Tribolium castaneum: one gene and its partner. The protein of the gene in region 1 interacts with the protein of each later gene in a pairwise test. Links are inferred from orthologs where the notes say so. Each region holds a gene or a part of one and is shown on either strand. Other genes may lie near its edges. The genes, in order: pll and Pli.

What was found.
Region 2: the proteins of pll (region 1) and Pli interact in a two-hybrid assay, tested with the Drosophila melanogaster proteins (2 studies listed by BioGRID). The link is inferred for Tribolium castaneum from reciprocal best matches to the Drosophila melanogaster genes pll and Pli.

Annotation. Positions count from the first base shown.
Region 1 is NC_087401.1:17,594,225-17,611,790, reverse strand, and holds pll (serine/threonine-protein kinase pelle), read left to right. Parts: upstream 1-9,159; 5' UTR 9,160-9,337; intron 9,338-9,398; 5' UTR 9,399-10,229; coding exon 10,230-10,349; intron 10,350-10,409; coding exon 10,410-10,987; intron 10,988-11,040; coding exon 11,041-11,674; 3' UTR 11,675-11,697; downstream 11,698-17,566. Other genes in the region: WSCD family member AGAP003962, read left to right, coding at 12,378-12,497, 12,542-13,001, 13,054-13,382; Sxl (sex lethal), read left to right, coding at 13,841-14,121, 14,178-14,375, 14,440-14,597, 14,645-14,811; GPN-loop GTPase 1, read right to left, coding at 15,207-15,316, 15,366-15,556, 15,620-16,214, 16,267-16,429; rifampicin phosphotransferase-like, read left to right, coding at 16,948-17,059, 17,110-17,225, 17,287-17,425, 17,474-17,566. UniProt on the Drosophila melanogaster protein: Plays an essential role in the Tl receptor signaling pathway that establishes embryonic dorsoventral polarity; the signal directs import of dl into ventral and ventrolateral nuclei, thereby establishing dorsoventral polarity.
Region 2 is NC_087396.1:20,934,496-20,950,516, reverse strand, and holds Pli (protein pellino), read left to right. Parts: upstream 1-2,389; 5' UTR 2,390-2,700; coding exon 2,701-2,825; intron 2,826-3,955; exon of another isoform or gene 3,956-4,325; coding exon of another isoform or gene 4,326-4,336; intron 4,337-6,194; exon of another isoform or gene 6,195-6,236; coding exon of another isoform or gene 6,237-6,277; intron 6,278-10,333; coding exon 10,334-10,432; intron 10,433-12,057; coding exon 12,058-12,289; intron 12,290-12,339; coding exon 12,340-12,534; intron 12,535-12,589; coding exon 12,590-12,880; intron 12,881-13,201; coding exon 13,202-13,417; intron 13,418-13,466; coding exon 13,467-13,582; intron 13,583-13,636; coding exon 13,637-13,763; 3' UTR 13,764-14,478; downstream 14,479-16,021. Other genes in the region: DNA replication licensing factor Mcm5, read right to left, coding at 46-138, 188-850, 901-1,141, 1,184-1,356, 1,404-1,659, 1,706-1,860. UniProt on the Drosophila melanogaster protein: Scaffold protein involved in the Toll signaling pathway via its interaction with pelle/pll kinase.

The DNA of each region.
Region 1 (17,566 bases):
GTAATTGGCGATCGAAAATTGAAAAAAAGTGAAAATGGAAACATTTTTTTGCGTTTTTCTCGGAAACTGTAAGACTTAGAGCAACGAACAAAAAATCATTTGATAGCGCTTAATTTTCTCTATTTTTTCGATTAAACCCGGAGCCGCTCCGGGTAACGGTTCCGGCTACAGAGGCGATCAAAGTTTTTCTCTAAAAAAATTCATAAAAAAAAAACTAAAAGTCGTAGAGCATTGCGGTTTGTTCGATTGAATTCTACGGCTCATTTTACATATTATATCGATTTTTCACAAGAATTAAAAATTTAAAATTTTTTGCCTAAATTTAGGGTAGCCATTTGTCATAGTGGAAAATTTTATCCAACAAAAAAATTCATAACTCAAAAACTAAAAGTCGTAGAGCAATGCGGTTTGTTCCATTGAATTCAGCGGCTCATTTTCTGTATTATACGAACTTTTCATGAGATTTAAAAAATTTATTTTTTTTTGCTAAAATTTCCTGAGTAATACACATACTTTCAGAAAATAAAAAAATAAAAAAAATTTTTTAATTTGTTTTATCATACTTTTTCGTATTTATATATGCCTTTACAACTCTCTAGAGTTGTTAAAAGTCCAAAAAAAGTCCATATGTTCGATTTTTTAATGTTTGATTTTTTCAATTTTCGTCGCAATTTTTGTCGATTTTGGGTACCCGGAACATTTGTTGAGCAATAGCTCCGGAACTATCAGAGATAACCCCATGAAGTTTATTATCGTTGGAAAGCTCTTTGAATTATCTATTTTTTTCAAGAAAAATTATTGTTCTCCGACTAATAGTTTTTGAGCAAATTGCAGATAAATGCAAAAATTGGTAATATTTTAAAAAATTCATAACTAAAAAACCATTGGGAATTTGGCAATTTTTTCGATGCCAATCGATTTCCCGGATCATTTTGCATAGGTATGGATCAAAACAGTCCCACTTTTTCGAATAGTTTAGTCGTAATTGGGAAAATAAAAAAAATTAAAAAAAAGTTAACACCCCCCCCTACAAAATGGTCAATTTTAAAAGTGTCTTAGAATCGAATAAAACCAATTTGATCTTATAGATTTTGATGTGCTCTTTCCGATCTAAAAAAGCGTTTTCTCCTAGCTCTTTTAGTTTGGCCGTAATCGGCGTTTGAAAATTGAAAATTTTTTTGCGAGATATCGCCTTGAGTCCTATGCCATTTTGTAGAGTTTTTATTCCGGTTATCCTACATTATTCCGTTTCTCGATATCTTTAATAGTTTCGCCGTAATTGGCGATCGAAAATTGAAAAAAAGTGAAAATGGAAACGTTTTTTTGCGTTTTTCTCGGAAACTGTAAGACTTAGAGCAACGAACAAAAAATCATTTGATAGCGCTTAATTTTCTCTATTTTTTCGATTAAACCCGGAGCCGCTCCGGGTAACGGTTCCGGCTACAGAGGCGATCAAAATTTTTCACTAAAAAAATTCATAAAAAAAAAACTAAAAGTCGTAGAGCATTGCGATTTGTTCGATTGAATTCTACGGCTCATTTTACATATTATATCGATTTTTCACAAGAATTAAAAATTTAAAATTTTTTGCCTAAATTTAGGGTAGCCATTTGTCATAGTGGAAAATTTTATCCAACAAAAAAATTCATAACTCAAAAACTAAAAGTCGTAGAGCAATGCGGTTTGTTCCATTGAATTCAGCGGATCATTTTCTGTATTATACGAACTTTTCATGAGATTTAAAAAATTTATTTTTTTTTGCTAAAATTTCCTGAGTAATACACATACCTTCAGAAAATAAAAAAATAAAAAAATTTTTTAAATTCGTTTTATCATACTTTTTCGTATTTATATATGCCTTTACAAATCTCTAGAGTTGTTAAAAGTCCAAAAAAAGTCCATATGTTCAATTTTTTGATGTTTGATTTTTTCAATTTTCGTCGCAATTTTTGTCGATTTTAGGTACCCGGAACATTTGTTGAGCAATAGCTCCGGAACTATCAGAGATAACCCCATGAAGTTTATTATTGTTGGAAAGCTCTTTGAATTATCTATTTTTTTCAAAAAAAATTATTGTTCTCCGACTAATAGTTTTTGAGCAAATTGCAGATAAATGCAAAAATTGGTAAAATTTTAAAAAATTCAGAATTAAAAAACCATTGGGAATTTGGCAATTTTTTCGATGCCAATCGATTCCCCGGATCATTTTGCATAGGTGTGGATCAAAACAGTCCCACTTTTTCGAATAGTTTAGTCGTAATTGGGAAAATAAAAAAAATTAAAAAAAAGTTAACACCCCCCCCCTACAAAATGGTCAATTTTAAAAGTGTCTCAGAATCGAATAAAACCGATTTTATCTTATAGATTTTGATGTGCTCTTTCCGATCTAAAAAAGCGATTTCACCTAGCTCTTTTAGTTTGGCCGTAATCGGCCTTTGAAAATTGAAAAATTTTTTGCGAGATATCGCCTTGAGTCCTATGCCATTTTGTAGTGTTTTTTATTCCGGTTATCCTTTATTTTTCCGTTTCTTGATATCTTTAATAGTTTCGCCGTAATTGGCGATCGAAAATTGAAAAAAAGTGAAAATGAAAACCTTTTTTTGCGTTTTTCTCGGAAACTGTAAGACTTAGAGCAACGAACAAAAAATCATTTGATAGCGCTTAATTTTCTCTATTTTTTCGATTAAACCCGGAGCCGCTCCGGGTAACGGTTCCGGCTACAGAGGCGATCAAAGTTTTTCACTAAAAAAATTCATAAAAAAAAAACTAAAAGTCGTAGAGCATTGCGGTTTATTCGATTGAATTCTACGGCTCATTTTACATATTATATCGATTTTTCACAAGAATTAAAAATTTAAAATTTTTTGACTAAATTTAGGGTAGCCATTTGTCATAGTGGAAAATTTTATCCAACAAAAAAATTCATAACTCAAAAACTAAAAGTCGTAGAGCAATGCGGTTTGTTCCATTGAATTCAGCGGCTCATTTTCTGTATTATACGAACTTTTCATGAGATTTAAAAAATTTATTTTTTTTTGCTAAAATTTCCTGAGTAATACACATACCTTCAGAAAATAAAAAAATAAAAAAATTTTTTAAATTCGTTTTATCATACTTTTTCGTATTTATATATGCCTTTACAAATCTCTAGAGTTGTTAAAAGTCCAAAAAAAGTCCATATGTTCGATTTTTTGATGTTTGATTTTTTCAATTTTCGTCGCAATTTTTGTCGATTTTGGGTACCCGGAACATTTGTTGAGCAATAGCTCCGGAACTATCAGAGATAACCCCATGAAGTTTATTATCGTTGGAAAGCTCTTTGAATTATCTATTTTTTTCAAAAAAAAATATTGTCCTCTGACTAATAGTTTTTGAGCAAATTGCAGATAAATGCAAAAATTGGTAATATTTTAAAAAATTCATAACTAAAAAACCATTGGGAATTTGGCAATTTTTTCGATGCCAATCGATTCCCCGGATCATTTTGCATAGGTGTGGATCAAAACAGTCCCACTTTTTCGAATAGTTTAGTCGTAATTAGAAAAATAAAAAAAATTAAAAAAAAGTTAACACCCCCCCCTACAAAATGGTCAATTTTAAAAGTGTCTCAGAATCGAATAAAACCGATTCGATCTTATAGATTTTGATGTGCTCTTTCCGATCTAAAAAAGCGTTTTCCCCTAGCTCTTTTAGTTTGGCCGTAATCGGCCTTTAAAAATTGAAAAATTTTTGCGAGATATCGCTTTGAGTCCTATTCCATTTTGTAGAGTTTTTTATTCCGGTTATCCTCCATTTTTTCGTTTCTCGATATCTTTAATAGTTTTGCCGTAATTGACGATCGAAAATTGAAAAAAAGTGAAAATGGAAACCTTTTTTTGCGTTTTTCTCGGAAACTGTAAGACTTAGAGCAACGAACAAAAAATCATTTGATAGCGCTTAATTTTCTCTATTTTTTCGATTAAACCCGGAGCCGCTCCGAGTAACGGTACCGGCTACAGAGGCGATCAAAGTTTTTCACTAAAAAGATTTATAAAAAAAAAACTAAAAGTCGTAGAGCAATGCGGTTTGTTCCATTGAATTCAGCGGCTCATTTTCTGTATTATACGAACTTTTCATGAGATTTAAAAAATTTATTTTTTTTTGCTAAAATTTCCTGAGTAATACACATACCTTCAGAAAATAAAAAAATAAAAAAATTTTTTAAATTCGTTTTATCATACTTTTTCGTATTTATATATGCCTTTACAAATCTCTAGAGTTGTTAAAAGTCCAAAAAAAGTCCATATGTTCAATTTTTTGATGTTTGATTTTTTCAATTTTCGTCGCAATTTTTGTCGATTTTAGGTACCCGGAACATTTGTTGAGCAATAGCTCCGGAACTATCAGAGATAACCCCATGAAGTTTATTATTGTTGGAAAGCTCTTTGAATTATCTATTTTTTTCAAAAAAAAATATTGTTCTCCGACTAATAGTTTTTGAGCAAATTGCAGATAAATGCAAAAATTGGTAAAATTTTAAAAAATTCATAACTAAAAAACCATTGGGAATTTGGCAATTTTTTCGATGCCAATCGATTCCCCGGATCATTTTGCATAGGTATGGATCAAAACAGTCCCACTTTTTCGAATAGTTTAGTCGTAATTAGAAAAATAAAAAAAATTAAAAAAAAGTTAACACCCCCCCCTACAAAATGGTCAATTTTAAAAGTGTCTCAGAATCGAATAAAACCGATTCGATCTTATAGATTTTGATGTGCTCTTTCCGATCTAAAAAAGCGTTTTCCCCTAGCTCTTTTAGTTTGGCCGTAATCGGCCTTTAAAAATTGAAAAATTTTTGCGAGATATCGCTTTGAGTCCTATTCCATTTTGTAGAGTTTTTTATTCCGGTTATCCTCCATTTTTTCGTTTCTCGATATCTTTAATAGTTTTGCCGTAATTGACGATCGAAAATTGAAAAAAAGTGAAAATGGAAACCTTTTTTTGCGTTTTTCTCGGAAACTGTAAGACTTAGAGCAACGAACAAAAAATCATTTGATAGCGCTTAATTTTCTCTATTTTTTCGATTAAACCCGGAGCCGCTCCGAGTAACGGTACCGGCTACAGAGGCGATCAAAGTTTTTCACTAAAAAGATTTATAAAAAAAAAACTAAAAGTCGTAGAGCAATGCCGTTTGTTTTATTGAATTCAGCGGCTCATTTTCTGTATTATACGAACTTTTCATGAGATTTAAAAAATTTATTTTTTTTTTGCTAAAATTTCCTGAGTAATACACATACATACCTTCAGAAAATAAAAAAATAAAAAAATTTTTTAAATTCGTTTTATCATACTTTTTCGTATTTATATATGCCTTTACAAATCTCTAGAGTTGTTAAAAGTCCAAAAAAAGTCCATATGTTCGATTTTTTGATGTTTGATTTTTTCAATTTTCGTCGCAATTTTTGTCGATTTTGGGTACCCGGAACATTTGTTGAGCAATAGCTCCGGAACTATCAGAGATAACCCCATGAAGTTTATTATCGTTGGAAAGCTCTTTGAATTATCTATTTTTTTCAAAAAAAATTATTGTTCTCCGACTAATAGTTTTTGAGCAAATTGCAGATAAATGCAAAAATTGGTAATATTTTAAAAAATTCATAACTAAAAAACCATTGGGAATTTGGCAATTTTTTCGATGCCAATCGATTCCCCGGATCATTTTGCATAGGTATGGATCAAAACAGTCCCACTTTTTCGAATAGTTTAGTCGTAATTGGGAAAATAAAAAAAATTAAAAAAAAGTTAACACCCCCCCCTACAAAATGGTCAATTTTAAAAGTGTCTTAGAATCGAATAAAACCAATTCGATCTTATAGATTTTGATGTGCTCTTTCCGATCTAAAAAAGCGTTTTCTCCTAGCTCTTTTAGTTTGGCCGTAATCGGCGTTTGAAAATTGAAAATTTTTTTGCGAGATATCGCCTTGAGTCCTATGCCATTTTGTAGAGTTTTTTATTCCGGTTATCCTACATTATTCCGTTTCTCGATATCTTTAATAGTTTCGCCGTAATTGGCGATCGAAAATTGAAAAAAAGTGAAAATGGAAACGTTTTTTTGCGTTTTTCTCGGAAACTGTAAGACTTAGAGCAACGAACAAAAAATCATTTGATAGCGCTTAATTTTCTCTATTTTTTCGATTAAACCCGGAGCCGCTCCGAGTAACGGTACCGGCTACAGAGGCGATCAAAGTTTTTCACTAAAAAGATTTATAAAAAAAAAACTAAAAGTCGTAGAGCAATGCCGTTTGTTTTATTGAATTCAGCGGCTCATTTTCTGTATTATACGAACTTTTCATGAGATTTAAAAAATTTATTTTTTTTTGCTAAAATTTCCTGAGTAATACACATACCTTCAGAAAATAAAAAAATAAAAAAATTTTTTAAATTCGTTTTATCATACTTTTTCGTATTTATATATGCCTTTACAACTCTCTAGAGTTGTTAAAAGTCCAAAAAAAGTCCATATGTTCGATTTTTTAATGTTTGATTTTTTCAATTTTCGTCGCAATTTTTGTCGATTTTGGGTACCCGGAACATTTGTTGAGCAATAGCTCCGGAACTATCAGAGATAACCCCATGAAGTTTATTATCGTTGGAAAGCTCTTTGAATTATCTATTTTTTTCAAAAAAAATTATTGTTCTCCGACTAATAGTTTTTGAGCAAATTGCAGATAAATGCAAAAATTGGTAAAATTTTAAAAAATTCAGAACTAAAAAACCATTGGGAATTTGGCAATTTTTTCGATGCCAATCGATTCCCCGGATCATTTTGCATAGGTGTGGATCAAAACAGTCCCACTTTTTCGAATAGTTTAGTCGTAATGGGGAAAATAAAAAAAATTAAAAAAAAGTTAACACCCCCCCTACAAAATGGTCAATTTTAAAAGTGTCTCAGAATCGAATAAAACCGATTTTATCTTATAGATTTTGATGTGCTCTTTCCGATCTAAAAAAGCGTTTTCTCCTAGCTCTTTTAGTTTGGCCGTAATCGGCCTTTGAAAATTGAAAATTTTTTGCGAGATATCGCTTTGAGTCCTATGCCATTTTGTAGAGTTTTTTATTCCGGTTATCCTCCATTTTTCCGTTTCTCGATATCTTTAATAGTTTTGCCGTAATTGGCGATCGAAAATTGAAAAAAAGTGAAAATGGAAACCTTTTTTTGCGTTTTTCTCGGAAACTGTAAGACTTAGAGCAACGAACAAAAAATCATTTGATAGCGCTTAATTTTCTCTATTTTTTCGATTAAACCCGGAGCCGCTCCGGGTAACGGTTCCGGCTACAGAGGCGATCAAAGTTTTTCACTAAAAAAATTCATAAAAAAAAAACTAAAAGTCGTAGAGCATTGCGGTTTATTCGATTGAATTCTACGGCTCATTTTACATATTATATCGATTTTTCACAAGAATTAAAAATTTAAAATTTTTTGACTAAATTTAGGGTAGCCATTTGTCATAGTGGAAAATTTTATCCAACAAAAAAATTCATAACTCAAAAACTAAAAGTCGTAGAGCAATGCGGTTTGTTCCATTGAATTCAGCGGCTCATTTTCTGTATTATACGAACTTTTCATGAGATTTAAAAAATTTATTTTTTTTTGCTAAAATTTCCTGAGTAATACACATACCTTCAGAAAATAAAAAAATAAAAAAATTTTTTAAATTCGTTTTATCATACTTTTTCGTATTTATATATGCCTTTACAACTCTCTAGAGTTGTTAAAAGTCCAAAAAAAGTCCATATGTTCGATTTTTTAATGTTTGATTTTTTCAATTTTCGTCGCAATTTTTGTCGATTTTGGGTACCCGGAACATTTGTTGAGCAATAGCTCCGGAACTATCAGAGATAACCCCATGAAGTTTATTATCGTTGGAAAGCTCTTTGAATTATCTATTTTTTTCAAAAAAAATTATTGTTCTCGATAACTCTAATAGTTTCGCCGTAATCGGTAGTCAAAAATTGAAAAAAAGTGAAAATGGAAACCTTTTTTTGCGTTTTTCTCGGAAACTGTAAGACTTAGAGCAACGAACAAAAAACTATCTGATAGCGTTTTCTCTATTTTTGCCGATATCTTCTGAACGATTTTTGCAGATTTGGATTCCGCTACGTTAGAAACACTACGTTACGTTAGAAAAACTTAATCATAAGAAAATTCTCGTGAAAAGTTGGTATAATACAGAAAATGAGCCGCTGAATTCAATGGAACAAACCGCATTGCTCTACGACTTTTAGTTTTCGAGTTATGAATTTTTTTGTTGAATAAAACTTTTCACAAAAAATTTTAAATTTTTAATTTTTGTGAAAAATTGATATAATATGTAAAATGAGCTGTAGAATTCAATGGAACAAACCGCAGTGCTCTACGACTTTTAGTTTTTTTTATGAATTTTATTAGTAAAAATCTTTGATCGCCTCTGTAGCCGGAACCGTTGCCCGGAGCGGCTCCGGGTTTAAACAAAAAAATAGAGAAAATTAAGCGCTATCAGATGATTTTTTGTTCGTTGCTCTAAGTCTTATAGTTTCTGAGAAAAACGCAAAAAAAGGTTTCCATTTTCGCTTTTTTTCAATTTTCAACCGCCAATTACAGCCAAACTATTTGAGTTATCAAAAAAACGAAAAAATCGAGAACAACCGGAATAAAAAGCTCTACAAAATAGCATAAGACTCAAGGCGATATCTCGCAAAAAAAATTTCAATTTTCAAACGCCGATTACGGCCAAACTAAAAGAGCTAGGAGAAAACGCTTTTTTAGATCGGAAAGAGCACATCAAAATCTATAAGATAGAATCGGTTTTATTTGATTTAGAGACACTTTAAAAATTTACCGATTTTAAGGGGGGGTGTTAACTTTTTTTTATTTTTTTTTTATTTTCTCATTTCTGGCTAAACTATTCTAAAAAGTGAAACTATTTTGTTTCATACCTATGCAAAATGATCCGGGGAATCGATTGGCATCAAGAAAATTGCCAAATTCCCAATAGTTTTTTAGTTATGAGTTTTTGAGCATATGATCTAATTTTTGCTTTTATTTGCATTTTCTCGAAAACTATTAGTCGGACAACAATATTTTTTTTTGCAAAAGATAGATAATTTAAAGACCGGCACTCAATAGTTTGACAATATTTTTTTGACAACCACCACCACGAAAATGTCATTTATAAGTGGCAAATTCAAACCGTGGGATTTTAAAGGAAAATTACAAAGTTTGACATGTAGTGATTTAGTGAGAATAATGATTTTTCGAAAATGTTGTTTTTGTGTGCCTTTACGGTGTGGTGCTGCTATGTTACTTGTCCTCCAAATGGCATGTTTGACGCCTTATACGATATACAATCCCACCGCAAAACTAATTTTCATCTCAATAGGAATCATGATCCTTTTGGCAACAGCTGCAGTGATATTTATGTGGGCTATTGTATGGGAAAAACCTAAATATCTTTATGCAACACTTGGATTATCACTGGGATCCATCATTTTTTATTTTGCCACAATAGATTACGACTATTCTTTTAAGACATCAACAACACCCACAACAAAGAAAGAAGGAACTGTTCATTTAATCCTCTTGATTAATAACACCACAGGAATATTAACATATTTTTATTTTATTTTTATGTTATACAATACATATGTTAAGTTACAACATAAAGCTAGAAAAAAACAACAATCTACTGTACTACCACAATAAACCATTTGTTAATGTGTCCGGTTTTGTCTTTTTACCACGGTCGGACTTTGCCTTGAGTTGCGTGAGTTAAAATCCATGTATTTTTCGGGTCTTTAACCATTGACATTTGTTTATGTCTACCGTGAGTTTTACAAAGGACATAAAGACGTTGCTCTCGCATCACAAAATAGCAGTCTTTACAACGTCTATGCAGCTTTCCTTTTACTTTGAAACCACAACACTGTGTTTGGTTGTAATTCACAGCGGCTAAAAGTTTGCTCGGTGATGTTGCAATCGACGGCGTAAATATGTGATAATTCTTGGAAGTTGCAACAACAACAAAGGGGCACTTTCTAATCACATTAATTACATTTCGAATGAGTGGAAACATTTTGTGAAAGATGAGGTTAGAAAACCGCTTAGGGATTTATCATTAGAAAAGTTACTAGGATTGGTGACAGACACTGCTGACTGTCACTGCTTGTCAATGTAACATAACCCAATTTTTTTATTGTTATTTTTTTTAACGATGTTTATTTACGATATGCCGTTTCTCGAACGTAAAAAACTCTGTAGTATTTTGGATCGGAATAATTGCTTTGAGGAATTAGCTGCGGTTCATATGCAATTTGATTCTGAGACGGTCCAAGTGAGTAAATTCGTATTTACTCTAAAGATACCTAATTAGCTTTACCTAATCCATTTTCAGAAAATTAGTCGCGAATTTTTCAGAGGCATTTCCCCAACTGAAAAACTCCTCGACTTATGGAGTCATCACAACCATACCGTTTTTGAATTGTTTATTCTCTTGTATCGAATGAAACATTATCAAGCCATGACAATCCTTAAACCACTTGTCGATTCAAAATATCATCATTTGATTAAACAAAGTACTTGTCTTCCTGAATTAATGGCCGATTTAAAATTAGAACAAGAGCCAATAACAAGTGAAAAAATACTAAACGCTCCAAGTTGTGAAAACAATGAAACAAAGCCCCAAAAACCAAACGGAATCTCGCTTATTTCTTGTGTGACGGAATCTGTGGGAGCTGTTCCTCAAATTCCCTATGATGATTTAAGACAGTCAACAAATGATTGGAACACTGGATCGATTCTGGGTCGTGGAGGCTTTGGGACGGTATTTAAGGGTGTTTGGAAGTGCACTCAAGTTGCTATTAAAAGAATTGAGAAAAAAGCGGATGACAATTCGGATCAAATTTTTCAATCCTATACAGAATTACATTGTTTGAATGCATACAGACACGATAACATTTTGCCACTTTACGGGTACGTATAAACCAATTCAAATTAGACATGAAATATTTATTATTTTTATTCAGGTATAGCATTGACGGACCTCAGCATTGTTTGGTATACCAATACATGTCCGGGGGTTCCCTCGAGCACCGTCTCCACATTCGTGATGCGTCACGTGTCCTTTCATGGCCAACTCGTCTCACAATCGCAATTGGAACCGCTCGAGGTCTTCAATTTCTACACACAATTCGTGACAAACCGCTTATTCATGGCGACATCAAGTCTGCCAACATTCTTCTCGACCTAAACGAAATCCCTAGAATTGGGGATTTTGGTTTAGCTCGTGAAGGGCCACCACAAACCGATTATGTTAAAGTGAGTCGTATTCATGGAACGAGGCCGTATCTTCCTGACGAATTTATGAAATATAAAAAATTTTCGACCAAAGTTGATACTTACAGTTTTGGAGTTGTTTTATTCGAATTGGCGACAGCTGGAGCTGCTTATTCAAATAAAAGGGTGAACAAGTTTTTGAGAGATCATGTCGTGTTTTGGGAAGGTGATGTGTTACAATTGAAAGATTCAAGGGCTGAAGGAGGAGAAGATTTTTTTAAGGGATTAGTGGAAGTTGGAAAAGGGTGTGTGAGGACGGGGGCAAAGGACCGACCGGAAATGGTTACGGTTTTATTGCAATTAGAAGCTGTGATGAATCAATAAATTTTTACATACATTTTTTACAATTGTTTCATTTCTCTAATCAACATTTTCCGTCAATTACTTTTATAATTTACGGCTATTGATAATCGCATTCTACACAAGGTTACAAGGTTATTCATTTCGACTAATTTTATCAGAAAAAAAGCAATGTGACAGTTGATCGGTTTTGTGGACACTACTACAATTCAAGGATTTCTTTATTGTATAATAATTAGTTTTCAAGTTTTCATTAACAAATAAGGTTTGTTAAATCTGCTGTTGGCTTTTAATTTTTGTCATTGCAGAAGAAAACATTTTGAGAGTCACTGGTCGACGACGCCTGGGACGTCTCGCTCTATCAAAGTGGGCAAGACGACGCCCTATTAACGTTACGACCACCACAGTTGTTTTTCCAAAAATATTATGTAGTCATCATAAATCAATTTACATGTAACAAAAAAAATATGGGAGTGCAAACCTTCCATCAAACAATGGATAATCGAATAAAATTGTAGAAATTTTAAGGTGAGTGAGTGTTTGGCAATAAAACAATTACGATTATCGATTTGTTTGTGTTTTTCAGGCTTCCAAGATCACGCGCGCGATTTACAACAAACAGTATTACAAAATTGATAGCAATACGAATAAATAAATTTTTTATAAGAATTTTGTTTAAAGAAAAATATTAAATAATTGTTAAATTTCCAATCAAAATAATGGACAAATGCATGTCACTAGAGTTAGATATTGGATCTTGGCAATATTGTTGTTTTTATATATAGCAGGCGTCTTATTTCTATCAGCGGTCACTCTACATGAACCCAAAAATTTAACACACGGAAAAGTAAGTAAAAATGATAATTATTGGTGTTATTTAATTGTTTTTAGCAAACGGACCGTAATCAGCCCTTTTCCCGTCTAAAAAACTATGAATATGGAATACCAGGACTTAGACCACCTCTTCGTGGTCGTTCCAAAATCCAATGGTGTTCCACAGAGCTGAAATACATCCATCCAGCTATACCACCCGTCGCCTTGGTATCATTTCCGGGAAGCGGAAATACATGGTTACGTTACTTACTTCAACAAGTTTCCGGTTTTTACACCGGTTCGGTTTACAAAGATTACGGTTTGTTGAAAAATGGTTTTCCCGCCGAAAATATCGCCAACGGTTCGGTTCTTGTCGTAAAAACACACGAATGGGGTTACAATGCTCGGAAAATCTTTTCGAAAGCGATTATATTGGTTCGTTCACCGGCAGCTGCGATCCAAGCCGAATTTAACCGACAAAGCGGTGGTCACATTGGATTTGCATCACCCGATAGATACAAACGGACTAAAGGAAAATGTATATTATTTATTGTATTGATAATTTTTTTAATAACTTATACTTTTATCAGATTGGCAACAATTCGTCAATGATAAGCTCGAAGCTTGGAAACAAACCAATCTCGACTGGTTATATAATTTTACAGGACCAACGCACGTAATTTTTTACGAGCAACTTGTCGATAATCTTGAACACACCCTCAAGACGATTATAAATTTTCTCGACATATCAACGGATGAAAATTTATTCAAATGTGCACTTGAACGAAAGGAAGGAATTTATAGGAGGAAACGTCGAGTGCTCAATTTCGATCCATATACGGACGAAATGAAACGAAAACTGGATAAAATACAAAAAAAAGTCTACGAGGCGATTTATAATTTTGCGACGCCGAGTTAACAACAACGTTGTTGCGACAATAAGGCCTTTTTAAAACGAAACGAGTGGCCAAATTTTTCTAGTATCTCTCTTATTCATGTAAACAGTGGCAATCAACACACGATTATAGGCCTAAAATAAAATTATACAAACACAATTTTGCGACTTATTTTCATTGCTCAAATTTGAATTTACATTAATAATAATAAAAGGTTGAGAATCGCTGAACTCGTAAAGTGATTTATCATTTTTCGACGTTGGTAATTCTGTTCCCACTATCATCAATAAATAATCAAGTTTGTAGTGGTAGAAAATTAGTTCGTTTATTTATTTTTCAAGTTTTTTCAATAAACAAAGGTAAGCCCCTTTATCCCGCCAATTTCCAGTAAATGATTATGTTTTTGTCGTACTTTTTACTCGATTTCATCCTCCTAACCTCTAAATGACACATGGCCATTTTGTTTCAGTTTTTTGAAAAGATGCAACAAGAGAACGCCGCCAACGGCCCCCAAAATGATTTAAATGTGGGGGCCGGAGATCAAGTCGAATGTGACAAATCGAAACTTATCGTTAATTACATCCCACAATTCGCAACTGAAGAGGATTTAGCTCTAATTTTCACTCCCATCGGACGAGTGGAAAGTATTAAAATAATGAGAGATTATAATACGGGCTATAGTTTCGGTTTCGGTTTTGTCAAGTATTTCAACGAAGAAGATGCCGCGAAAGCGATTCAAGTTATCAACGGAATGAATTACAAGTAATTGAAAATTTAAGATTAGAACTGTATTTATTACTGTTGCTATTGTCTTGTAGAAACAAACGCCTGAAAGTGTCATATTCGCGTCCTCCAGGTGCCGATATGAAAGCATCCAATTTATACATCACTAACTTACCCAAAGACGTGACTGAGGACGATGTTCACAGACTCTTTTCAAACTATGGAGAAATCATCCAAAAGTCCGTTTTAAAGGACAAAATTACCGGAATGCCACGTGGAGTTGCCTTTGTCCGGTATAATAATGATGATAATAATAATTATTAAAACTTTGTAAATAATAATTTGTTTTTCGTTTAGTTTTTCGCGAGGAGAAGAGGCCAAAGCTGCCATAGCCGACCTTGATGGCAAACTGCTTGAAAACGCAATGCTTCCGTTGAGTGTTCGCGTAGCAGAAGATCACGGCCGTCAAAAAGCTCAATATTTGGAAAATTGGAGTTTTTCAATGCACAACAGGGGTAAGAAACGGAGGTTTTGACTTAATTTTGGCATTTCGGGTGTTTAGGTTTTGTACCACCGTTTCGAGGAGGGACAATGAATCCCTTCAGGAAAATGCCACCACAGCCGCCTGATAATTTACAAAACCGTAATCGCTTCCAAAATTATAATTCGAATAATGTGAGAAATATGGGAGCAGGCGATAATTATCTACAAAATTCGTTTTTTTGTTAATTGCTTCATTTTTTCTTTTTTGTTTCTGACTGAGAATGGTTTTTGTGTTAATTGAAGAGTTGATTTTATTTTACAAAGTTTCTATATTTATTTTTATATTGATAGAAAAGCGTGCCAACTAATTGTATGTTGAACGCTAAATACAATAGACATTTATTTATTTATTATTATATATATTTATATAAAATAGGAAAAAATATGTACGCAATTGATGTGCCTAAGAAAAAACTTAACACCAGCTATGGTTTTTTTTTTCTTTTTGACACACAAAATGTGTTAATTTTTTTCTTAACCAACGATCTGAATAATTTATTGTAATTTATTTCTAGTTTCAAGTGAATAAAATTTTAATTGTTGTTTTCTATATTTTTTCCTTTTATTTAATAAATTACCTACTAGGTTTGGTGTTTCTTCATCTCTGCTTCTTTTGCCCTTTTCACTTGCATTTCTCTTTGTTGTTGTAGCACTTTTTTAAACACATCGTCTTCTTTTTCATTATCAACATCTAATAAAAGAATCAAATCAAATAATAAATTAATCAAACAAGTCCCTACTTTGTTGATATGGAGCCGCCTGTTCTTCACCCTCAGAGTCTTCACTACTGTCATTACCTGGATGTCTTAGAAAAACATCAGACAATTCGGCCCCAGCCGACAACGTAAAACATTGTTCATTATTTTTCGATTTTTCCAATTTTTGTGCTTCTGATTGTTGTTTTATTTTCAACCATTCGCTTCTATATTCACTAAAATAGATATAAATAAATAAATATTCCAGTAACTACAAAATATAGAAATAAAGTTATTACGTTTCGTATAAAATCCTAGCTTCGTCTATTAGTTTATATAAATCTTCAAGTCCTTGTCCTGTGGCAGCGCTTACTCCACAAACTTTTAAATTTCGGTAAAACTCATCCAATGTTAAAGCCATAGACCTCGTCAAATTGCTGATGTAGCTTTCGTCGTCAGCAGCTTCAAGTGCTTGTTGAAACGACTCAAAATCGGTCATCCAATCAACAGCATATGAATGATCAACGATATCAACTTTATTCATAACAACAATGAAAGGAAGACGCGTTTTATACAAAATCGAGCAAGCGTAAAGCATGTTTGACATAAACGTAACAGGAGAAGTACTTCGCACACAATCAACAACGTATAAAATGATTGTTGGTAAAGTTGAAGCCAAAGTTTCGGTAATAATCGAACCCGAAACCGACCAAGTAAACACCTCAATTTGACCAGGAGTATCCAAAATGCACAAATCATGATTCGACTTTTCAATAAAACCAATCACTTCAGAGAATTTCGTTGAAAATAAGTTCAAACTTGTGACGATAGCACCATTAGGGCCTAATTTGTACTGCTTCATAACCTCCTTGTAATTTACCGTATCTCTAATATCTGTAATTTAACATTAAATCCCAAGAAAACTTTGACGCCCGCGAATACTTGCCAATATTAGCGAAATAGGGTAAATTGAAACAAGCAGGGTCCAAATTCACAACGTACGGTTTTTTCGGAGAATTTGATAAGCGAGTAACAAGACAAGTTTTGCCAGAACCGGCCATTCCAAGCACTATTACACTCACGGGAGCTTTGCCCCCCGTTTCGGACATTTTTCATAAAATAAAGTGGAAAAAAAGTTTGGTTAGCTTCATGACATTTGACAGTTGGAACAGAAGCTGTGTATTTAGGTTCAAACAATCTTTGCAAATTTGTGCCTCAAGACAGAAAATTTTTGATTGTATATAATAACTTTTAAATCAATTCATGTAATCGCTTTTGCACTAACTGGATTTAAAAAACCCATAATTTAATTTTTACAAATTCTCCAGTGGCGTACTTTCTGGGGTTCTTTTTTTGAAAATTACATTTAAATCACAAAAATGTTCACTTCCGTTTCGGAATGATGGCATTGACCTATGATACTAATACTTTCATGTAATAATAAGCAATGCAATTATCTGTTTGGCCTTGATTTATGTTTACATCACTGATCTGTAAATGTGTCTCTATCCAACTCCAATCCAAAGTGCTCACGCAGATAAGTTAAAATTTCAAGTTTAGATAATAATTATTATTATCTCAAACACCTGTTTGAAACATTTAATCGAAATTACTTCTAGTCGTGACCATGGAGCTCTTACTCAATTTTTGTTATTACGTAACACTTTTTCTAATTCCGATCTCACTCTACGTTCTTGTATTCCAACATCGGACAAAAAATCGTTTTTACACAAACCGAGGTATTTATTTCTTTCCATAATTAATTATGTATTTACTTGATTAATTTTAGATTGGTTTTATATAATTAAATTCCTAATCGCAAAATCGGCCGTCAAAAAACATCAAAACAAATTCAAAACAAAAATTAACATAACCGAAAGTCCAATAGAAATTCGGACGGAAAATGTAAAACATTAAACTAATCTATTAGATAAGTTAGTATCAATTAATATAATTTTTTTTACAGTACTGTGATAATTATTTTATATATGGAGCAGATCAAAAAGGCAATAGTCTATCGTTACGTTTTATAATTGGGTCAGGTCTAGTAGGCGAGGTTTTTCTTTGTTTACGGCTTTCAACAGGCGCCATCTATACATTTCCTGGTAAACAATAATATTAACATATCTAACTGTAATTCTATTAATAAATAGGTGAAAAAAAGACAAAACAGTATAATCTATCAGATTGGCATTGGAAAACAAAAGACCTCCATTTGGAAATTCTGGAACCATTCAAACGTCACC
Region 2 (16,021 bases), on another chromosome or scaffold:
AAAAGCATTTAATAAGAAACGAAATAAGTTATTTTTTTTTGTTACCATATCGCGCTGTTGGTCGTGTTCATCCTTCACAATGAAAATCATATCAAAACGTGAGAGAATCGTCGGCATAAAATCAATATTTTCCTCTCCCTGAAACCCAAATTAAGTAAATTGTGTAAAATCAGTTTGGAAAAATCACTTTTGTCTCATCCCAACGCCCGAAAATGCTATTAGCGGCCGCTAGAACGGAACAACGCGAATTCAAAGTTGTGGTAATCCCCGCTTTCGCGATCGAAATCGTTTGCTGTTCCATTGCTTCGTGAATGGCAACTCGATCGTCCTCCCTCATTTTATCAAACTCATCAATACACACAACTCCACCATCGGCCAAAACCATCGCACCTCCTTCCATGACAAAATTCCTGGAGGAAGGTTCCCGCATTACCGACGCCGTTAACCCAGCAGCGGAGCTCCCTTTGCCAGAAGTGTACACTCCAATGGGGGCCACCCGTTCCACAAACTTCAATAATTGCGACTTGGCAGTTCCGGGATCCCCCAATAATAAAATATTAATATCGCCACGTCGTGTCAAACCATCAGGCAGACGTTTGCGGGAACCCCCGAATAAAAGACAAGCTATGGCTTTCTTAATATCAAGAGCTCCGAAAATCGACGGTGCGATGCTATTGGCGATTCGTTCGTAAATATTGGGCGAATCGGCCATTCGCCGAAACATGTTTTCTTCTTCGGCGGTCACGACAGAAGTCGGGGAACCACCGACACCTTCAGTGTCGAGTTGCACCCCCACGACGCGAATATACGGGGCTCGGACGCCCGTTGTGCCGCGCTCACGGTCATCACGCTACAAAACGACTGTCCTAAAAAAATGTAAAAAAATATTTGGGGGATTACCCGGCCCACTTTTGCGATTTTCTTGATCGAGTAAATCCCCAAGACGAAGATTCGGTTCCCGGGGACCACTTTCTCGCACAAGTAGCGGTCGCAGTAGAGGGTGAGGTGTCGGGGGATTTCCCCTTGAGGGATTCCGTCTGGTAGTTCTTGCAATTTGAGGATTTGGAAATCGACGCAGTGGCATTTGTCAGGGATTATGAAGTAGGGGTCCAAGGGGCACTTGGCCTGGCCTGCTTGCTCCCTATTTTTACGATTAACAATTTTTGAATTTTTGTTAACTCACGTGTTGCATTTGCGTGGCATAACATAGCCTTCCATCCCGGGCTTCACAGGTAAATTGGGGATTACGTTCTGGCACGAACGGCACTGGATTGCGATTTTCGTAGCTTTGGCTTTAATCCCTGACGCACTGACCACAATCCCTGGGATTTTCACTAGTTTTGAGACAACGTCCGACTGAAATCATGCGATTGTAAAGCGGTAAACCCCCGAAAAAACCCTACTTTCATGTTCCTTAAGTTTGTCGGAGTGGCGTCTGAAGACAGCATAATTTGTATGTCTTCAACTGCTTCCTCTCCTTCGGGACGTGGGGCTGTGAGTTCGTCGGCCACTTCCTTGGCCGCTTCCTCAAATATAACCAAGTGTTCCGACGGGTGTTTGTATAGTTTGTCGGCCAACGTCTCGTCAAAAGCGCCAACATCTTCAATGTTGACTTCCAGGTAATATTGGCGCAGGTTGTAATTGCGCTTCAGGGTGTCCCTATAAGGGGGTTTCAGTGATTTTTGGCAATAAATTGGAAACAGACCTGTATTTGTAGCTGAAATTGTCGGTGTGGTATTGTCGGATGAACTCCTTGAACTTTTTCTTAACACCTTGTAAATTGATTTGGGGGTCGCTTTGGTTGTCCTCAACCGTGAAATTATCACTGTAAAACACTCCTGGATCATCGAAACCTTCCATTTTCGTATAAAACACCGATTTTGTGGCGAATAAAGCGTTGTTGTTACACGGAAGTAAATTGGCGGGAACTTTGCGCCAAAGCTGCCAACATTAGTGGTGACGTTTGGTGCCACAAATTCACTAAAACTGGTTTAAAAATTCAAATTTGAAATTCTTTATTTATTTCGAACGTTTTCAAGTTATGAACTTGGTTTAATTTGCCGCTTCTGTCCTTTGTTAATAATAATTGGCTCATTTTTTGCTAAAAAACGCAATAATGTCGCAAAAATTCAGCAAAAAAAAATCAAAAAAATCACTGAATTAGCTCAAAAATTGTCAGTGTCACTTTGACAGTTCCAAAAAAATGGCATTTGAATAATTTGGGTAAAAATAATAAAAATAAATAAATCTGACCCAACATGAAAGAAACTGAACCGGACGTTGTTTCGATTTTAAATTTACGATTCAAAAAAATTCTTTTATGTGATTTTTTTTTGACGAGGGGGGTGAAAAAATTTTTGCACTTCTGCGCCCCTCCAGCCTCAAATTGCATCATCTCCGCCCAGATCTAGGCCGCACCACTGGCGTATTTTGAACAAGTTGAAACCAGTCAGATTGGTGGATGTTGGGCGCTGATTCATCCTCGAACCAATCGCTTAGTCGGAAGTGCCACAAAACCTGCCAGATTTCGCCTCCACAGAGCAAAATCTGCGAAAATGTTGTGCTCGTCTTTGTTTTGACTTGTCGACGCAAAGTCATGACAAGAATGGATCTTTCCACTCTTTCCTATAATATTCTGCGCGATTCGGTGGTTGTCGTGACTTGTCTTCTGATATTTAGTGGTGACTTTACGGCCGGAAAATGGACGAGAGAAAAATGGAACCGAAGGAAGTTTCCACTGAAGTTTTAGTTAAAGTGTATTGCGAAATTGAGTGGTGTTTTAGTGACTCTGGGGATAATAACATGCTAATTAAGAAAATGAAGTTGTAAGTTTGCCATGTTTTTTGTTGTTTGTTTTTCTTGTATTACTTTCTTCTTGTGACATTGATATTGATAACGATGTGATAAGAATGGTTGACTATGAACTGCCTAAGACTTAATTTTTGAATAGGTAATGTGAGAATTTCACCACTTTGGCCTTGCCTATGATTAGTCAGCTAAATTTTTCAGAATTTTGAAAAAAAGGCCCCAATATTTTTTTCAAATAATAAAATTACCAGCAGCCAAAAAATGAACATGCACAATTTTAATTTTCAGGGTGAGTAAATAGTGCCAATTAACACTTTAGCAAAAACCTTATCAGGGCCTTTACATTTATTTATATTTTCTTTTGAAACCGATCGTTTAAAACAATATCGTATTTCAAACGTGAATTTGATATTTGTTGGCCTTGTTTTGCAAAATTTAGAGAAATTCTATAGACGAAAAATGCTTTAACCCGATAGAAATATTAAAAATAGGGAAAAATACCACATTTCAGAAGCAATTTTGTTCATTTTTGCTTTTATCTTAGTTAAATCTGTGAGTATACGCGAAAAAAGCTCGGATACGGCTCGATTTGTAAACTTCATTATCGTAATAAATTCTCGTCATTCTCGGTAAATAATAACTCTACAGAGTGTTTCTTTTTAGTACTAAATTATCGCTCCTTGGAGCATATTATTAAAAAAAAGATGCCAAAGAAAGACTTTCTTTGGCACCCCTGTAGATTAAAATTATGTCTAGCCGCGATGTTTTTTTGTCACTTTAAAGTGAAATAAAATAGTTTTCACTGGTAACAAGTTTTTCTTGATCTTGATCTAAATCTTCCAAATTTTTATAATGTCTATTGTTACACCCTAAAGTCTGATTAATTTAATTTATTTATTAATTTATTAGTTCAGTAAAATTACAAAGAGAAAATGTATTCCGACACCATGTTGGTAGCGTTGGTACTCCTGAAAGCCGGCCCTGACCATTGCAATTTCCCACCGCCTTTTTTGCATTAGGCCATTTCGCATTTACGCTGACAAGGTGATAATAGATTTGGTCGATGAATCGTCAATAAAGACATTCAAAAATTCGCCAAAATCGTGCACCCCGCCACTGTCGTCTGTCATTTCGCTTTTTCACTTCCGGTCCCAGCAGATGTCAGCACTCGCCCAATGTTTACATCCCACCGTCGACGTCCCCCACGATCGACATCCATCCACCGCGCCATTGTTATCGGTAAAAGTGCGGAGAGTGTCCGTGGAAAAGCATCACCGTGCGTGTTTTTCCCCTTGGAAGTCGTGCTTTCATCGCAAACGGTGCGAAACCTCCGTGAAAGCGTCCGCCAGTGCAACGAAGACGGCCGTGCCTAGTGAATGCGTGTGCCACCAGTGATAAACATGCACGAATCGGCGGCTCTAGTGATGTTTTTAGTGAAGCAACGACACCAGTGATTGATATTTTTATGCGTTTCGAATACGACAATCGCAGCCAAACTGTTTAAGACGGCTTCAGAAATGGTGAAAAGGTGGGTACTGGCACCACGAGGGGACTTCATCACGATTTAATCGCTTCATTATTGATTTTGTGCGATTATTATGACGACAAAGGGCCATCGCGACGCCTGATTGTCACTGGAAATGTCAACGATCGGCGATTTTTTATCGCTGGCTAAAGGGGCGTTCACACGTGTTGTTGACAATAACAAGGGACGAAAGTCCACTTTTCCTAACGGTGTGCCTTAAGACGTGATCGAAAAATTAGACAATTTTGGGTCACATGTGGGTACAGTACCGCTAGGAAGTTTTGGCCATTAGTTGCCGGCCTGGCCAAAATTCTCGGTCACGACTGTACATTTCTAATTACCATTTATCAGTGATCTCATTGGTGTAGTCGTAGCATGTTTTTCATGAATTATACATTACAAATAGCTATTAATGATGCACGTGCTTATTAGCGTGAGTAATTGAGATTTTCATACAAAATTGAGCAAGTTTTTAACCTCGTTTGACGATATTTTGTTTGAGTTTTACAAGAGGAAGTGCTTATCTGTTTCGCAAGATAATAAATATTCCAAGTCGAAGATTAAGGACTGAAAACCAAAGATTAATTCTAGAGGTAGTTGGTCACAAATTGCAAGAAACTGAATGAATCACAACAGAAAAATACCAGTCACTCTTACAAATTGTAGAGTAGTGGAACTGAGAACTAATGCAAAGTCCACAAGCAAATTTTTTTTTTGCATTTTAACCCAAACATTTATATAATTACGTCAAGAATTACTTTATTTTGAGTTCAAAAACTCACTTATTGTGCGAAATTTCCTTCCAACACGGCAAATAATTTCCAACTATGGTCGAAAATACTGAGTTCTGAGTTTTTTGATAAGTGAGAAATTAAGATTTTTCCGAACGTAATCAGTTCGCTTATAAATAAATGCGTGAATGCAAAATTTGAAATTGAATTTTTAAGAAAAGTAATAAACAATTGGTTGTTCCTAAATTGAATCATTACCTCACAGGTCAGTTTTTATCTCAGTTTAAATATTTGTATCGACTGATTTATTTTTCTACAAAAAGATCTTACTTTCTGAGACCTTCAGCAACAATACTATATATAGAAATTTGAAAGAGAATTATAAAATAAAAAAAATAGTTTATTATACAAGTAAAAAAAAGTTGTTCATTATCTGTGAGTGATGGGGAAAGGAATCACGAGCAGACAATGCCAATTTTTTTTGCTCTAGGAAATTTTAACTTTCGGCAAAATATGACCAAAGTATACATTAAAATTGACTTTCGTTTCTCCTTTTTAATAGCGAGAAACTTTTTCTGGTGTCAAAATAACTTTCAGGAGATGTACAGCAATGATAAAAAAACTCCACTGACTTTACTCTGACGTTTCAATTTTTGTTACCATAGTTACACATACGTCAGTGCATTTTTTAGCAACTATACCAACCTAGGGATATGACAGGGTGTTCAAATAAAAATATAAAAAAATATTTCAGTTTTTTGTTTCTTGAATAACTTTAAATGTTGAGATTGCGCCGCCTGTAATTGCAGATACGGGTTAAAAATGTGGAATAATTAACCTGCTACTTGAACTTTGTTTCGCTCCTGGCCATTTGAATTGGTAAAAGCCGTCGTTTCTTGTTTATTTTTTTAGGCATTGACCAACGGTTGGATTATACTTTTTATTCACTTGAGTAATGCGGGCACGCACCACCATTTTTCTCTTTGTTAAATCGATCTTTTATGGAAATTTGCGTCAGAGAATGACTCGGATAAAAGCAACGAAACGTCGATTGTTCCGGTCGTCCTCAAAATTATCAAGACTAGAACAAATATTTTTTTCGCCAACATTGCTTATCGTCAATATTGAACGCGAAAAACCCTAGTTGTGTTAGTCTTTGCAGTGCTGGTAGCATGTGTTGCTTGAAATATCTGTCCGATTCGATATTCATCAAGTATTTATTCCAAGTGTTGTGTGTGTGTGGTGTGCTTGGAGAGCGTGTCCAGATGAACTTTTCCCCTAGTTTCTAACCCGTTTTGTCCCTAGTCCCCGATGAAAATACACGTTAAAAATGCATGTCATTAGTTACGACAGGCTCGCTACGTGAACAAATTCGCATAAATATTTTAATACAGTTTATTAATCTTGACTCACTTTCGCGACCGAAATTGGAGGAATTTTTCAAATTCTTTGTTTAATAACCGTTTCAAGCGCCAATTAGTCAATGACGTCCAAAGGTAATTTCTATCATCGGGCGAGAGCATTGCACGCGATAATGATCAAAACAATGATGAAGGTTTTATATCTTTATTTTTGGCACGATAACGCGCTGCGTCGTCTTTTTTTGTTGTTGCTTTATTGTGTTATTACGATTCAAGGAAACGGAACAAATTTGAATAAAAACGGTCACAAATAAATAATTCATCCAATAATTTCGAAAATGTTTACCCGCCACAACAATTTTCATTTTTTTCGATTATTTTACACACAGCTACTCGATTTTTTGAACATATGCCGCACGTAATACGGGGCCCCGGGCAGTACAACCTTTTCCTCTTCGTTCTTTCGTTGTTATAAACCGTTGGCCGCGCTATTGTCCGACTTACGTACGTAAAAATGTAAAAGTGGATTTTCCGTGTTCCATTAATGAGCAATCGATTTTTGGATAATTGCCAAATAAGTTTTGCGTTTTTTCATTTGGTTAATTTCCTTTATCGGTGTTATGGTCATTAACGAAAGAGGTTAGTAATAAACCTTCGAATTTGTGCCTCGACGGGTGAAAGGTTTTTCAAATCATGATTCGGAGTTGTTTCCTCGGGTCAACAAAACGACCCGCAACCATGCACTCAACGAGATTATAATTGAAGTAACGTTTCTCATCGAATGCAAATTAGAAACTGTAACACCGCGTATACCAAGCTTATACAATGTCGTAATGTTTATTATTTTAATAAAAACAAACGCAAGTTCTCTTGTTAGCGGCTAAGTTATTGCAACACGCTTTATTTTTTTAAACAATGGGTACCAGAAACGACCGTTCTTCGACAAGTGTGTGTGTAATTCCATTAATGTCGGAGAGAGGACAAAAGCTTGTTTATCATTTCGACAACTATGTCTCTGTTTCTCGCTAATTAGAAGGGAAATGGATTTTTTTCAAAGATACAGAAAAGCCTTCGAAATTTTCCTAAAAATGCAACAACAAAGTTTTTTGTTTAGGTATCTTCACTATAACAGATTATAGATTCACTTGTTTGGGTAAAATATAATTCTTGTCAACGTATATTTCGTGACCTTCACCCAGTAAACACATTCCAATGAGTATTTAATTATAATTTGTTAATAATTTAATTATCATATCGTTTACAAGTCTGCTTTCGATAAAACCGTATTTAGAGCGCTTCAAGAATGTCTGTAAAATATTAACACGTTATTCAAGAATAAGAATTAACTTGGAACATGCTCGTCTTAGAAATTAGTTGAAAATGTATACTATAATTTTTTTTTTAAAATACAGTGAGATTCAAAAGAGTGGAATAATCTCTCAGGTGATAAAGGACAAACTGAATTTAAAAAATTTTGATTGGATTACGAGTTATTTATTTTGATTGACAATTCGGAAATAAAATTAACTAGACGCCCTCTGGTGATGACTTTTGAACTATGTCGAAAACAGTAAAGAAATTTTCGTAATGCCACATTTAACTGACATTTAATGAATTGTTCAACAATTTTGCGTGTATAGTGTTAATTACTTACAACAGAAAGGATTACTTTAAAAGTACGTGGTGGTAAATACTAGCGTTGACTTTGGTTCTGTAGTTTTTCGTGGTATAAAGTGTTTATTGTTGGAACTTGAAAGTGGATAAAAAGTGAAAAATATTTAAATTTTGATTACAAAGTGTTATCAAACAGTTGTCTAATTAAAGATTATAAGTAATGGATCACAGCGAACACAAAGTTTGGCTCAAGATACCAATAAATTAGTGAAGTGCTATGAATTTTAGGTTAGAATTTTCCAATGAAAAAATCATGAAATGCTGCGGTAAATCTACAAAACTACAATAAAGATTAACAACTGCTGATACATTTAAACGTAAATTATGCCAAAAGGTAGGCTTTTCAATGTCTTTGTAATAATTTTCCAATAAAGAAAGTGAACCAAACAGTCATTCGTTATTCGTGTTTTCCTCGTCATCTCTCATTTGTCAACATAAGTTTCTTGCATCAAAGATGCAATAATCATTCCGCATAGGCAATTTAATAATTGTGAAGCCCCAAAATTCGTACAACGCTCAAAATATCCGAATAAACATTAATTTTATTTTTCCCGCCATTTATGGTTACTGTTTTCGACCTAGCTCAGTGGCGCCTCCAACGGTAATTTTACTTCCGAATTATAAGCGTCAAAAAAATGCCAATGTTTGTCATGTCATGTCATGACGTAAACATGGATAAAATTCCATTTTATCGTCAAGTTGGAATGAAGCAAATTATCACCGTTTTGATTTTTTTTGGTTTTTTGTAATTAATTGGAACAATTTGGGAGCAGGTGAAATGTGAGAAGCCAGGAAACTTGCGACCTTTTTCCACTTGACAGGTGATTAGCCAATCAAGTAAACTAAATGATCAGTGGGCGGAAAATCGAAAACTGCGGATTTTCCCCGGAAAATATGCGACGAACGTGGCCGACATTCCTGCGTTAATAATACATTTTCTCCGGTCCGTTTGTAATTAAAGGGTCAGTGGAATGAATATATTTCTACCAAGTTTAGACAACGGTCCATTAGTTTGTCGACCACGCATCGTCCGTGGGGTAATTACCGGTTCACTCAACCCGAAAAAATAATTCTCTTGTCCAAATAAATACGTACGCATTGTTGTTGATTTGATATCAGATGCAGGTGTTTGCATCTCTTTGTAAACTAAAGTCGGAGCAGGAAACGGTTTCAGCATTCAGAATGCACAGTTAGAAAATGAAAATAAAAGTCGATGCCTGCTTTCAGGAAATATCTCTTCGGTTCCAGATCGTTGCTGTTGCTGCTTTTAATAGAGCGTCTTATGTAAGACGTGATCCTGGTCAGTCGGGGATTTTATACGTGTATTTATGTGAGGAGTCGCGTCCTATTTACGGTCTATTAACATCGGGAAGGGTCGATAACCGACTATCTCCTTCGAAAACACACACAAAACTTGAAAAAAATCGTACTGTGTGGGGATAGGCTACGAATTTTTTTTTGAGGTTGGTCATTGACAGGTGAAGTTTCGGTCGATTAATTAAAAACTTGTTCCTCTGTCTACGGCTCCGAGACAAGTCTGCAGCAAGTTGGTTCTTGTCGTCTCAGAATTATTTGATTTAATGTCGGAGAGAATAATTTTTACATTTGAACAAAAAAAACACTTCCAAGTTCTTGCGCCATGAGGTTACTCGGCTATCAATCAGAAACGAAACAAATCAAACGAAATGAAAACCTGAGTTACGCTCTTGCAAAACTATGGGACCGAATCTCCGATTGAAAAACTAGCAAAAATCGCCTGTTTTTTGACTCAGCTACGCCACTGCGTCAGCTACCACCTCGTACCACTCAAGAAAACGGATCGGAATTTACTTGAAACAAGTCGGGGAGTTACCATAGTTCCAAGCATGCAACGGCAATAAAACCGGCGAAAATTCCTATAATTACGTCGGAATCGGTGTTAATTACGGTTTTTTCGTTTCGTCGGACTCAACTTTCAACTCTAGTTGTATTGATGCGGCCTTAAATCCGGCATCAATCATTCGGCGAAGACATATCGCATATCTTATTGGAAGAAAGCGGTCGATATGGGGAGGATGTTCCGGACGAATTATTAATAAAACGGGTCAAAGTTGCACACGAATGGCACCCCTGCGTGCACACTTTGTACGTGGGAATTTATTTATTGTCAAGCTTCTTCCTTGACCTGTTGGTGAACATAATTATAATCACGAAAGTAGCCAACTTTCTTGCTCAAACAATGTGTTTTTTTATAGATCGGATGGCACCGAGTCTCCAATATTAGAAGAACAAGAGAGTGCCAACTCAGAGAAACCAAAACAACTCGTCAAATATGGAGAACTAGTCATTTTAGGGTAAGTGTAAGGTTTCGATTTGATGATCCGATTAGAAAGAAAAGTCTCGTGTGACATTTATAGGGGTTCTGCAATTGCCTATATTCACCTCTAAACATTCGATTAAGTGCAGTATGGTTCCAGTAACACGTTTAATCAGCGCTTATTTAGAGAAACCGTGCGTTTTTCCTTCCTTTTTAATTATACAAATACATGAGTGTGGACGTGATCATTTGCCTGTCACCGTGAACCACTTTCTTGCGGTTTTGTGTTGAAAAAAGTGTGTTGGCCTTGTGTGGTAAAAACGCGAGACGTCCCTTCCGTTTTGTCTGCAATACTCATTCCAAGTTATTATCTTATCCGCAGTAGAATTTTTGTTGAAACACATTGTAAAATAATTGCTAAACCACAAGTTCACTGTACGGGTTCATTGTTACATTTGTTTGGCAGCTAAGAATAAAATTAAAAAACCATTTTTTTCATTTTCGTTGTCCCGCTTCTACTTTTGTTAAAAATAAGTAAATAAATGCTATTTTCTAGTAGTTAGCCTTTTAAGTAATAAGCTGCTACAGTGCAAAACAGTTTTTGTTTAGATCATTAATTGTTTTGTTTTTTGAAACATTTTTATTATTTTACTTGAATAAAAGTGAAAAAAAGCAAGCATCCTGAGTTTAATTAAATTTATTACCAAATTATGATTATGATGAGACAGAATAGGATTTGTAATAAAATTTGATTAATTTCAGTTACGTGATTTTTTTGTACTCTGAATGGTGGTCTAATCTTATATCTGATTTATTTTCATTATTTAATACGAGAACCTACTTAAAATAGAAAAAAAATTGTTTCACCTCTTTACACATTTAAGATTTTATATCGCATCTTATTGATTATTTTTATTTGAAATACATAGTAAAATAGTGAAAAAAAGTATTAATAGTTTTTAGTTTTTCCATATTTTTTATAATTTCCCTTATATATTTTTTTTTCGTTTTCTTTTTCCTACATACAGTTTGATTTTTGTCTACGAAACATCTATCTGAACGATTAATTAGTTATACGTAATAGAAAGTTTTGGCTCTTCTTTTCTTACCTCGATAAAATAAACCCAAACGAGGTAAATTTATTGCAGTTATTAAAAAAGTTTAAAATTGTCATTTAGTGTAATTAATCAGTGCTTTGTTTAAACTTTCTAATTCATAAAATAAAATAATACACGAAATTATTTTTATCTCGCACTTTCCAATTTATTTATTAATTTACTGAGAAAACATTACTTTGATTTTAATTCGGTTTTAATTTGGCAATCTTGACTTTTAAATTAAAACTTAATATAATTCCGTTTTGCAAATATATTGTTTAGCATTTTTTGCAATATTTTACATACTTTTGCCACTAGACGAAAAAAATGTGGATTTTGGTATTTTTCGTAGAATAATTCTAAAATGTTTGAAGCGCTTTTGAAAATAAATTTCAGCCCGGATTGTTAAATATTTTGAGTAAAATGTTTACACACTTGTAGGTTTCCTCATTCCACGCACCTAACCTGCTTATTTTGGCTCATCTGCACGCTTATAAATATTTCCCTTTGATTCATTTACTTTCGGAGTGATTTTTTTTCACCTTGACATTCTTTCTGTCTTTAGATACAACGGTTTTCTACCTCAGGGCGACCGAGGCAGACGACGTAGCAAATTCGTATTGTACAAACGACCAACAGCGAACGGAGTCAAGAGATCGAAACACTATGTCGTCAAAACGCCCCATTCGTCTCAGGCCATCCTGGACGCAAACCAGCACTCGATATCCTACACACTTTCACGCAACCATGCCGTCATAGTGGAATACACCCCCGACGATGACACCGACATGTTTCAAGTAATTGAGCGTTTTTTGCATTTTAGAGTGTTGCCAATTTTTTTCTTTAGATCGGTCGTTCGTCGGAAGCCCCCATCGACTTCGTGGTCATGGACACCGTCCCCGGGGACAAGACTGGCGAAACCAAGGTGATGCAAAGCACGATATCGCGATTTGCGTGTCGGATTTTATGCGATAGGAAGAATCCGAAAATTGCGAGGATATACGCCGCCGGTTTTGACACCTCCAAAAACATATTTCTCGGGGTATTTTAACAATGATTAAATGGAAAAAAATAGTGTGATGTTTTTTTTTTTGCAGGAGAAAGCAACGAAATGGCAGGAAAACGGGCGCGAAATCGACGGTTTGACCACGAATGGTGTGTTAATTATGCATCCAAGAGGGACGTTTTGTGGGGGAGATGCCAAGTGTAGTTATTGGTTGGAGACGTCTGTTGGTGGAGGTGTGTTTTCGTTGAGGGAGTCAAGGTCGGCCCAACAGAAGGGCCAAGTGGTGGAAAACGAGACGAATATTTTGGAAGATGGGACTTTGATCGATTTGTGCGGGGCTACGCTGTTGTGGAGGTCGGCAGAGGGGCTCACAAAATCGCCGGTAATAGACCAGTTAAATAATCATCACTAAGATACTTGTTTTGAATCCCTAATCGTCTAACAAAAAATGTTTTTTAATTATTTTGCAAAAAATCACAAGCAGGTATTTTGAAGTTTAATTTTTGAAAAAAATAAAATAAATTGCCTTTTATATCTAAACGAGCCGCCCATGTGGGTGGGTTCCTAAAGTTGCCATAGAAATGCGCTGCAATATGTCTGTAACTGTGGTAACAAACAGTTGCCACGGTAAAAACCGCCACAATAACAATAGAAAATCAGCTCAGTGGCGGGTAAAACAATTTGTTTTTCGTCTAATTTTCAGAGCAAACGCGACCTGGAGCGCGAAATCGACGAAATCAACGCCGGTCGCCCGCAGTGCCCCGTTGGCTTGAACACTTTAGTCATTCCCCGAAAAGTCACACCGAACGAAAACCTGCAACAGCCTTACGTTTATCTCAACTGCGGACACGTCCAAGGCTTGCACGATTGGGGCCAAGACAAGGATTCGGGCGCCCGAAAGTGCCCCATTTGCCTAGAAGTAACCGATTTTCCAATTTAGTTGCGAAATTTCTGACGTATTTTTTTAGTTGGGACCGGTTGTGAAGGTCTTTATGGGGCTCGAGCCGGCGTTTTATGTCGATTCGGGGCCCCCGACGTTCGCGTTCAACCCGTGCGGGCACATGGCCACCGAAAAGACCGTCAAGTGAGTTTATTATTATTATTATTTTTTGATTGGGTTAATGTACGTTTATTGCAGGTACTGGGCAAATGTGGCTATTCCGCATGGTACGAATGGGTTTCACGCCGTGTGCCCCTTTTGCGCTTCGCCCCTGGCGGGGTCTCCGGGGTACGTCCGCCTAATTTTCCAGGATAATGTGGATTGAAAGGAATGTAGAGTAGTCCACCAAAGCTTTATTTATGTTTTTGCTCTTTTATTTAATGTATAATTGGTTTTTAGCAGTCTCATTTATTAATTTTTTGGAAATTACCCAATTGTAATTACTTGTAATTATTGTATATAATTGCACTTGAAGATGGGAGCGAGCCGAGAATTGCAGTTGTATCATATCATGATTTTTTTAATGGAAATTGCGGTTTATTACAGTGCAAATGCGTGAATCGTTAAGACTGGTTAGGATTTAGCTTATAATGTAATAAGTATTTAATATAAATCGACCTGTTAATGCAATGTTTTATTCAAAAAAAATATTTTTACATACTTAATTGACCCAGATTTTTTGATTTTATCGTGATAACAGGCTGTCTCAAAATTGGCGAATTTTAGTTCAGAGCTTTGTAGAGAATTGCTTCAATAGTCCAAATATAGAAAAAAAAATTAAGATTCTGGGTTTCAACCAATGTCTCTGCGGGGAAGTCCCAAATCTTCATTTTGTTTTTACATTGGGACTACTGAAGGGATTCTCTACAACGCTTTGAACTCGGAATTCGTTAATTTTGAGACACCCTGTAAGTTTCTCCGTTAGTCACTTTTTGTATATACTAGACGATAAGTTGCCGTAGTTAATATTTAAGCTACTATAGTCCCACGAAATGAATTTATCTGTGCCTGGATTCACTAAAAAAAGTTTAAAAATTGAACTATTTGTTGTTATTTATAACCCCACAAACATGTTTAACAATAACATATTACAAAATATTACCCCAAGGACTCGAATTTGTTACGAAAGTTTAATAAGAGTCCGAGTGTTTAACAGCATTTCGTCGCCGTTTTTTTACGATTTAACTTCGTAATTTTACATTAAACGTTTTTGTGAGCCAATTTTAATAATTTTTGCGATCTAGGCGGCTGTGAATTTCGTATTAAGGAAATTTGCCATCGTTGGGGTCATTGAACCCAAAAATTACGACCAAAAGACACACATTTTCACTAAATCCATATTAGTTTCACTCATAATGTCTTTGATAAAAATTGAAAAAAAAATTGTCTTAGAAGTTAACCATTACCACAGCCATTACTAACCAAATTTTGTACTTACTTGAAAAACACCGAAGCCGCCGTTTTTCTCAAGACTAACCACTCCACACCGAAACACTCAGTCTTTTCACATTTTTCTGTAAATATTTGTCCAAAATACACGCATTAACACCTTTTCTTCGAATTAAATTGTGGAAAATGCGACCACCATTAAATTTGACCCACCGCCAATTGTTTCATTACCAACATTAATACAATTAAATCACTAGATGTCACAGCGCCTAAATCAAACTTTTGAATTTTCAATTGCAAAATACTCCGATACTATCGCCCGTTATTTCCAAGTTTTCCTTACCTCAATTTGTAAAAAAAACACCAGACTCAGTCATTTGCTTTAATTTCACTAAAATCTACAATATATACAAACAGTCTTAAAATAATGGTACCCTTACATTAACTGTAATTATGTAAACATGATTTGAAGTAAAAATAAATACTTTGATAATTTTTCAACACCCTAATTCGGAAACAAAATTAACTAGAAGCCCTCTGGTGATGACTTTTGAACTATGTCGAAAACAGTAAAGAAATTTTCGTAATGCCACATTTAACTGACATTTAATGAATTGTTCAACAATTTTGCGTGTATAGTGTTAATTACTTACAATAGAAAGAATTACTTTAAAAGTACGTGGTGGTAAATACTAGCGTTGACTTTGGTTCTGTAGTTTTTCGTGGTATAAAGTGTTTATTGTTGGAACTTGAAAGTGGATAAAAAGTGAAAAATATTTAAATTTTGATTACAAAGTGTTATCAAACAGTTGTCTAATTAAAGATTATAAGTAATGGATCACAGCGAACACAAAGTTTGGCTCAAGAAACCAATAAATTAGTGAAGTGTTATGAATTTTAGGTTAGAATTTTCCACTGAAAAAATCATGAAATGCTGCGGTAAATCTACAAAACTACAATAAAGATTAACAACTGCTGATACATTTAAACGTAAATTATGCCAAAAGGTAGGCTTTTCAATGTCTTTGTAATAATTTTCCAATAAAGAAAGTGAACCAAACAGTCATTCGTTATTCGTGTTTTCCTCGTCATCTCTCATTTGTCAACATAAGTTTCTTGCATCAAAGATGAAATAATCATTCCGCATAGGCAATGTAATAATTGTGAAGCCCCAAAATTCGTACAACGCTCAAA